Oryzias latipes: one gene and its partner. The protein of the gene in region 2 interacts with the protein of the main gene of each other region in a biochemical or structural test. Links are inferred from orthologs where the notes say so. Each region holds a gene or a part of one and is shown on either strand. Other genes may lie near its edges.

Region 1 (3,086 bases), on a different chromosome or scaffold from region 2:
ACCCACCCCGGCGTGCATTGTTCGTCTCTTACCGGGTTTCTCTTGAGAGGAAAAACACTTGGACATAAACTCTGAGATGTTTTCTTGACTCCTGTGGGAGAAAAAAAACACACAGAGAGCAGCTGTTTACTTCCACCTGAACACAGATCAGTTGACATCTGGGACGCCCCGCGTGAAGCGGCGCCGGCGCTCCACCTGATCTTGGAGTCTCTGACGTAGACGGGGTCTTGGAGCTTGTCCTCCCAAGGCAGACGTCCGCACAGCCACTGAACCATGCAGTAGGACAGGATCTCCAAGTCGCCCCGCCTGCAAGGAGCTGCAGACGAACCAAGACGTGAGGAGCTGAACCATGAGCACGAGTAACAAGATTCTGAGCTAGGCCTGTACAATAAATCGCAAATTTGTCGTTATTGCGATGTCCATAACGCAAAATACGGCGAAAATCACAATAAATGCCGAACCTTTAATCTGATGGCAGCTTGAAGTGTTTAATGAGTTGAATAAATCCATTTATGCGTTTGACCAATCAGACGGAGCCTTCATGTTAGATGTTTGCCTCTTATGTAGACGAGGGTCATTTGGAGTGTAAATTAAGGTATTTTGACTCTTATTCAAATTAAATTGTTGCATTTTCTGTTTTTGGTTGTTTTGGTATTTGTACATGCATCAAAAGTTATGTCATCATCGCAATGTTGATCATTAATGTCGTACATCGCGAGTTTTCCTCACATCGTGCAGCCCATTGTGAATGAGAGCTTTCCAAGAACCGGTTCGACTTTCTGCACTAACAATATTGACTGTCTTTGTTTCATTTCTGAGTTTAGAAAAACACTTTGACTGTGATTCCAGAAAATCTCAACAATCGGTTTTAACTCAAAATGTAAAACAGCAACAAAAAGTATAACTTTAGCATCAATCCTGTTTTTACATTTCGTGTTTTATATTTCTTTAACATAGAAATAAACTCTCTTTTTTCCACATTGTAGTTATATTTGGGCTTTTGGCAAAGGAGATGTTTACATCCAAAAAGGTCAGATTTTCTCCTCGGCCTGATCTTATTGTGTCTAAAATGATTGGATTCGCTCATTTCCACGGCTGGGTTTCATTCAGGATATGAGTTTAATCATATTACAGTCAGTAAGTGGATCTGAGTTTCAGAGCGGACTCGTACGCACCGACTCCTTTGTGGGCATCGATGCTGGTGAACTCTATGGTTCCATCGTGGCATTTCTTGGGATCCTCCTTGTACTCTTTCAGGACGCCATCAGGAGCGTATCTGTATGCCAGGCCGTAATCTACCAGATAAACCTGCACAGCCAGCAGAACCGGGAAACCAGATGAACCCGCTGTGATCAACGAGAAGAACGGACAACTTCCAGAACCACAAGTTCTTTTTGGACTCGAAATCTTTGCTCAGTCTAGATTCTTTCTGGCTTAAATAAGTGACACAGCTACAGTCCATCAACAGAAACAAAAAAACAAAACAGAGGACAATTAAGCATAGAATCCTGAGGGCTCATTTTTATAGTGTCATTTAAAAACAACACAAACAATCCATTATTAATCTCCAAATTAAATACCCGCGCCTGTTCCAATTGTGTTTGCTAAAAATAATACAAAAATAAAAAAACCTCTGCTGCTTTCTAATCTTTAGACACACACCTACACCCACACACAGCAGGTTAGAATAGAGTCTAATGAAGCGGAATGAGGGAGCTTCAACCAAAACCTTCATCCATCCCGGCTTCCAGCAGCAGAGCTGAAGGCCGGGGGTTTCCCCACATGAACTGACCTGGTTGGGGTCACTGTGGCTCAGCATGAGGTTGGACGCTTTGACGTCGGCGTGCACGTACTCATGCTCGTGGATGAACTCCAAAATGTCCAGCTGAAAACACACAGGAGAGTTCAACCACATCTCGTTTATTGTCTTGCTATAGACAAACAAACACTAGATGGCAGCAGAGATGCTGTAGCTGCAGCTGGAGCTGTCGTAGCTGCAGCTGGAGCTGTCGTAGCTGCAGCTGGAGCTGTCGTAGCTGCAGCAGAGATGCTGTAGCTGCAGCTGGAGCTGTCGTAGCTGCAGCTGGAGCTGTCGTAGCTGCAGCTGGAGCTGTTGTAGCTGCAGCAGAGATGCTGTAGCTGCGGCTGGAGCTGTCGTAGCTGCAGCTGGAGCTGTTGTAGCTGCAGCAGAGATGCTGTAGCTGCAGCTGGAGCTGTCGTAGCGTGTTCAAGTCTCGTTCAGGTTTCCCAGCGTCAGACTTCACAGAGAAGGAAACTGCTTCAAAGTTTTACATGTTTAATTCTACATGCTAAACAATTGGCATAATGCTTTAAAAGATCTTCATTCAAGGCTAACCGGGAAAACCGGAGTAGCTGGGTGAACGTAAAAAGAGAATACAAGTAATCGCTGTTTTTAAAGTTTGTTGTTCTCGTTTTTTAACCCTACCTGGAAGTTTTGGCAGATCCACAACTATTCAATTCAATTCAATTCAATTTTATTTGTATAGCCCAAAATCACAACAACAGTCGTCTCGATGGGCTTCGAAGTAAAACATGAAATCAAAAGGATCACGAATACAAAGAGTTCAATAGAAAAATACTAAAATGAACTAACAAACTGACTAAGCTATACTGGCATCCCTGCCCTTAGACCGCCCTTCGCGGTAAGGAAAAACTCCCAAAAAAACCGGATTCCGGAAAAAACGAAGAAACCTCAGGGGTGCCCACATGAAGGAGGGATCCTCCCCCAGGACGGACAGGCGATTTACCAGAAATCTTAGAGAAGAATTAACTTATCTAAATCTACAACTACATATATAAAAGTCCAGCAGACGAGCTTCATCCAGCCGTGGTTGTGGGGACAGTCAAAGGCGCGAGTCGAGCCGGAGACAGGAACCACAGCCACGTGTAGGAGCAGGAGCAGAGACGAGGTAAACGGTCAGGTACAGAGCAGAGACGAGCCAGAGATGAGCCAGAGGCAGGATCCACAGCCAGGTGTAGGAGCAGGAGCAGAGACGAGGTAAACGGTCAGGTACAGAGCAGAGACGAGCCAGAGATGAGCCAGAGGCAGGATCCACAGCCAGGTG
Region 2 (4,393 bases):
GGAGCAGCAGCAGCTGGAGCAGCTGAAGCTGGAGCAGCAGCAGCTGGAGCAGCTAGAGCTTAAGCAGCTGAAGCTGGAGCAGCAGCAGCTGGAGCAGCTGAAGCTGGAGCAGCTAGACCTTAAGCAGCTGAAGCTGGAGCAGCAGCAGCTGGAGCAGCAGCAGCTGGAGCAGCTGAAGCTGGAGCAGCAGCAGCTGGAGCAGCTGAAGCTGGAGCAGCAGCAGCTGGAGCAGCAGAAGCTGGAGCAGCTGAAGCTGGAGCAGCTGAAGCTGGAGCTGCTGTTCTCCACTCTGGTAAATTCTGTCATCAGTTGTCAGATTTCTGGACGTTTGAGGTTTAAACTTTTGTTTGGGATGTTTCTAAATCCAAGCGGAGCCCCTCAGCAGTCAGATGTTTGTGACGTTGGAGGACGGACCTCACCTTGAAAGCGATCCTTTGCCCCGGCTGTGCAGGAGCGGCCAGCAGGGGCATGGAGCTGTAGTCCCGTGTGGGGGGGCCCCCGGCTCCATTCTGCAGACACACAAGCACCAGATTCAGACGTTTCCTCCGTCTGCAGCGTAAGAGAAAAGGGGCGGGGACTGACCTGGAGGAGCGGTGGCGTGTTGGTCGGGGAACGCGCCTGGAGGGGGGGCTCTTTGTCACTGTTCTGACCGCTGAGGCCCCGGCCTGCTGCCCCCCCAGCACCTCCACGCGCCCCCCTGCCGCCGCCGCGCCGTGACCAGAGGCCGTCCGCGTGTCTGTTAGGCTGCTGCGGCCGTCGGATGACCAGCTGGATCTCTTCCTCACTCCCAGCATCAGCAGGCTCCGCCCCTTTGTCCTGAGGGGGGGCTGCCTGGACCACATCTGTCTGTTTCAGCGCTGACGGAGCTTCTGGGCATTTGGGGGTGGGGGTACTTCCATCAGAGTCTGTTTCTGAGGACGATGAAGAGGGAGGCCGTGTGTTCTTCTGGGGGGGCTTGGTGTTTGGGGGCGTTTTGGAAGCAGCAGGGGTGGGGGGCGCCGTCCTTGCGGCAGTTCTTTTGGGGCAGTTGCTTTCCTCGCTGCTGGACTCTGTGGAGGAACTCTGCGTTTTGGCTGGGGCCTTCTTCTTGTTGCTTCCAGCTGATGGGGGGGCACTGGGCGGGTTTTTTCTGGGGGGGGCAGCAGGTGTAGGAGCAACAGTGTTACTTTTCTCCCCCTCCTTTTTCCTTTTCTTCTTGCTGCTCCTCCCCGGAGACGCCTCCCTCCTGTCAACCGTCTCCTGCTTGCTCCTTCCGGCCTCCCCCTCCTCTCGTTTCTTCTTCTTCTTCTTCTTCTTCTTCTTCTTGTTTTCAGCCAGCTGCCCCTCCTCCCCCCCGTCTCTCCGTCTCTTTTTGCTTTTGACTCCTTCTGCGTCTGCGCAGCTGCTGCAGCCGTTCAGCGCAGCCACACAGTCCACATTCACCCTGCAGAACAAGAAACATTTCTGCATGAAACGCATCCAGAACCGACCCGTTCTACAATGTAAACCCCCCCCCCCAAACCCACGCTGAAGAGAGCGTTCATAGTCAGAGGAAGAAGAAAGGCTCGAGCTTCATCTCAGACCGCACAGGCCTCAGGCAGTAATAGAAAAATGGCCTCCGTGGTGTCTGTGTGTACATTTCCCCAAACTGCATCTTGATCAACCAAGGCCCATTAGAACCATTGACTGATTCTTTAGAATTGGACCGAGCCAGTGTGACGTCATCCATTGAAAACGACTTCCAGCTCCAACCAAATGAAGTCAGTGCAGTCCCCATTCTTGTTGTTGCTAAACGAACACCGCCATGTTGGAGCCAGACAACATCAAGAAGCAGTGATTGGTCAGTCCGAGTCAATGTTTCTATGGCAACCAGTATCACCAATCAGGAGTGAGCTTGTTAGAGGTCCACACCCCTTCCACTTGAGAGCGGGCTCTGGAAAACGTGTCAATCAAATGTTTTGACCATTTGATGTGGGTGGCAAGGAGGCTCCGCCTACCTTTGTTGAAGCATCTGATTGGTCAGTTTAGAACTTGATTTACAGAAAAATATATCATGAATAAAAGAGGATTAACAAAAACATGTTTAAATAAAAGTATCAGATCCAGAATGTTTTTACTGACCAATAGAATGAATGACTAACAGCTGTTTATTTCTCAAGTCTGTGGGATTTTAGTTTCTGAGAGCCACTTCCTGTTTGGAATGCCAGGGGGCGGGGCCACTCAGTCCAGTTCTCATATTCAGTCAATGGTTCTGATCCTCCACCTGCAGACCGACAGATCCATGAAGGTCTTTGTTTTCCTGGTCTGAGCTGGAATCTGGGTCAGAACTGGACGGACGGATGGATCTGATGTTGCTGCTGTTTTGGTTGCACCGCTAACGTTGGGTTGGGGCTGTAAGCTAGTGGGAGAGAGTGTAAACTAGGGGATGATGGGACATCAGTGGAGGGTTACTTCTGCGCCACAGTCCCGCCCACAAGTCAGAGGTGAATTTCTGATGAACTTTTTGAAATAATTTGTCTAAAAACATTAAGATCACTGGGAACACTTTGAAAACAGACTAAAATGATCGGATTGGGCCTTAAGTCCTTCAGGTCCGGATATCTGTGGTGTCAGCCTGCAGGCTCGAACCGTTTCGGAAACGACACCGGCACATCAGGACCCCGCTGTGTGTGGGATGCGCGCGCACCTGACGCTGTCGTTGTCGCGCACGACGAAGATGCTCTCCGTGTGCGGAAGGTAGCAGTCCTCCACGAACAGGCTGAGGACGCTCCCGCGGCTGAACTCGAACTTCTGCCGGATCAGACCCTCCAGGTCCGCCACCACGCGACACGCGTTCCGGTCCACGAGCAGCCAGCACATGCGGCACCCCGCCACGGCCGGAGGGGGGTAGTCAAAGAGCAGCCGCAGGCGGATCAAGCTGTCTCCGAGCGCCGCCATGACACCCTCCGCGACAACACGCCGCCCCGCGCATGCGCAGAGGATAAAGCGCTGCTTTTGTCACGACACTGCCCTCTGCCGGTCCGGAGTGTATCCCATCTGCCTTTTCACTCGTTTAAAATTAAAACAGCATCCCATAATAATTCACGGGGCTCTTTAGGGAGATTTACAAGGATTTTTAACTGTTCTGTTCAGAGTTTGGACAAGGAGGCCTGGATCTCAATAATTCTTCATCCAGGTCAAAGACCCACTCAGGATAAAATCGTGTTGTTGTTTTTTTAGCATGTTCTTTTAGCCTTTCTCTCATGATGGAGGGCATCATGAGGATCACCAGGATTCAATCGTGGCAAATCAGGCGCAGATTTCTAAAATGCTGTTTGAAAACATTTGGTCCCTCCTTTGTTCAGACTCTTGTGATAGTGGAATTGTCCAAGGGGTTTTGGATTGATGAAGCACAAAGAGTTATTTTCACTGAAAGTAAGGAGCCAAGCCTTAAGCCTAGCTTCTGAAACTATACATAAACCCACACCATGATCCTCCCACCACCAAACCTTACTGTTAGCACAATGTAGACAGACAGAGACACTTTACAGCACTAGGTGATGGATAACTGACTGCAGATGGTTGCCGTGGAAACCATGGTCCGTGACCTCAGTGACCTTCGGGGAATTTTGGAATGAAAAAAAAAATCTCACAATGAGAAAAATTCTTTTAAAATTTTGATGTTTCAGAAACTTAGGATCTTCTTTTTTTCTGTCTGTTTTCTTGTTTTTAAAAAACTCAAAAAATCGGAGTCAGCCGATCAGCTGACTCCTGGGCGTGGTCATGTGACTTTTGGTCACGTGACTCGTCATCGGTGAAGTCCCTCTCCGCCAGTTTGCAGCAAAAATGTGCGGCTCCGTGGTGCTTTTCTGGCTCTGCGCGTCCGCTGTGCTCGTCCGTGATGGTGAGTTCCGTGGGTCGAGCAGAACTTCTTCATCACTTCTTCTCCCGCCTCCAGATCCTTTCATCTCTGGACTTGTCCTCGCTTCAGTAAATCCGATGACTGTCAAACGAAAGTAACCTCGGTTTCTGTCGGTGTGCGCATGCTCGTCAGGGTATTTGCTTCTCACCTGTCTGTCCGCAGGGCTGTGCGCGCCCCCGCCACCCAAAGAGGCGTGGAACTACGTGGAGGTGAGGGACGGGGCCCACATGTTCTGGTGGCTCTATCACGCCGACGCTGGGTTCCGGGAGCTCCCGCTGGTCATGTGGCTGCAGGTGCGTGCGTGTGCGTGCGTGTCTGAAGCTGACACGAGCAGAGATGACCTGAGCTCAAGGGTCTTGATCTGTGGGCTGAAGCTGTTCTGCTGGTGATGAAGATGAGAGGAGGGAAACATTTCCATCAGCACTTTGAATCTACAAGGAAGTGCATGAACTAAAATAGAGAAAAGTAGAATCCATGGAGGATCTATTGTCCAGGTTCTGCAGTCTGACTTCT

Evidence for each region.
Region 1: of the proteins of coil (region 2) and vrk1, one has a biochemical effect on the other in vitro, tested with the Homo sapiens proteins (2 studies listed by BioGRID and IntAct, with this or other methods). The link is inferred for Oryzias latipes from reciprocal best matches to the Homo sapiens genes COIL and VRK1.

The regions. Positions count from the first base shown.
Region 1 is NC_019880.2:3,855,081-3,858,166, forward strand, and holds part of vrk1 (serine/threonine-protein kinase VRK1), read right to left. Parts: intron 1,886-3,086; coding exon 1,793-1,885; intron 1,309-1,792; coding exon 1,176-1,308; intron 317-1,175; coding exon 196-316; intron 92-195; coding exon 33-91; intron 1-32. UniProt on the Homo sapiens protein: Serine/threonine kinase involved in the regulation of key cellular processes including the cell cycle, nuclear condensation, transcription regulation, and DNA damage response.
Region 2 is NC_019866.2:24,978,603-24,982,995, reverse strand, and holds the start of coil (coilin), read right to left. Parts: upstream 3,057-4,393; 5' UTR 2,917-3,056; coding exon 2,666-2,916; intron 1,424-2,665; coding exon 583-1,423; intron 510-582; coding exon 420-509; intron 1-419. Other genes in the region: scpep1 (retinoid-inducible serine carboxypeptidase), read left to right, coding at 3,805-3,862, 4,043-4,173. UniProt on the Homo sapiens protein: Component of nuclear coiled bodies, also known as Cajal bodies or CBs, which are involved in the modification and assembly of nucleoplasmic snRNPs.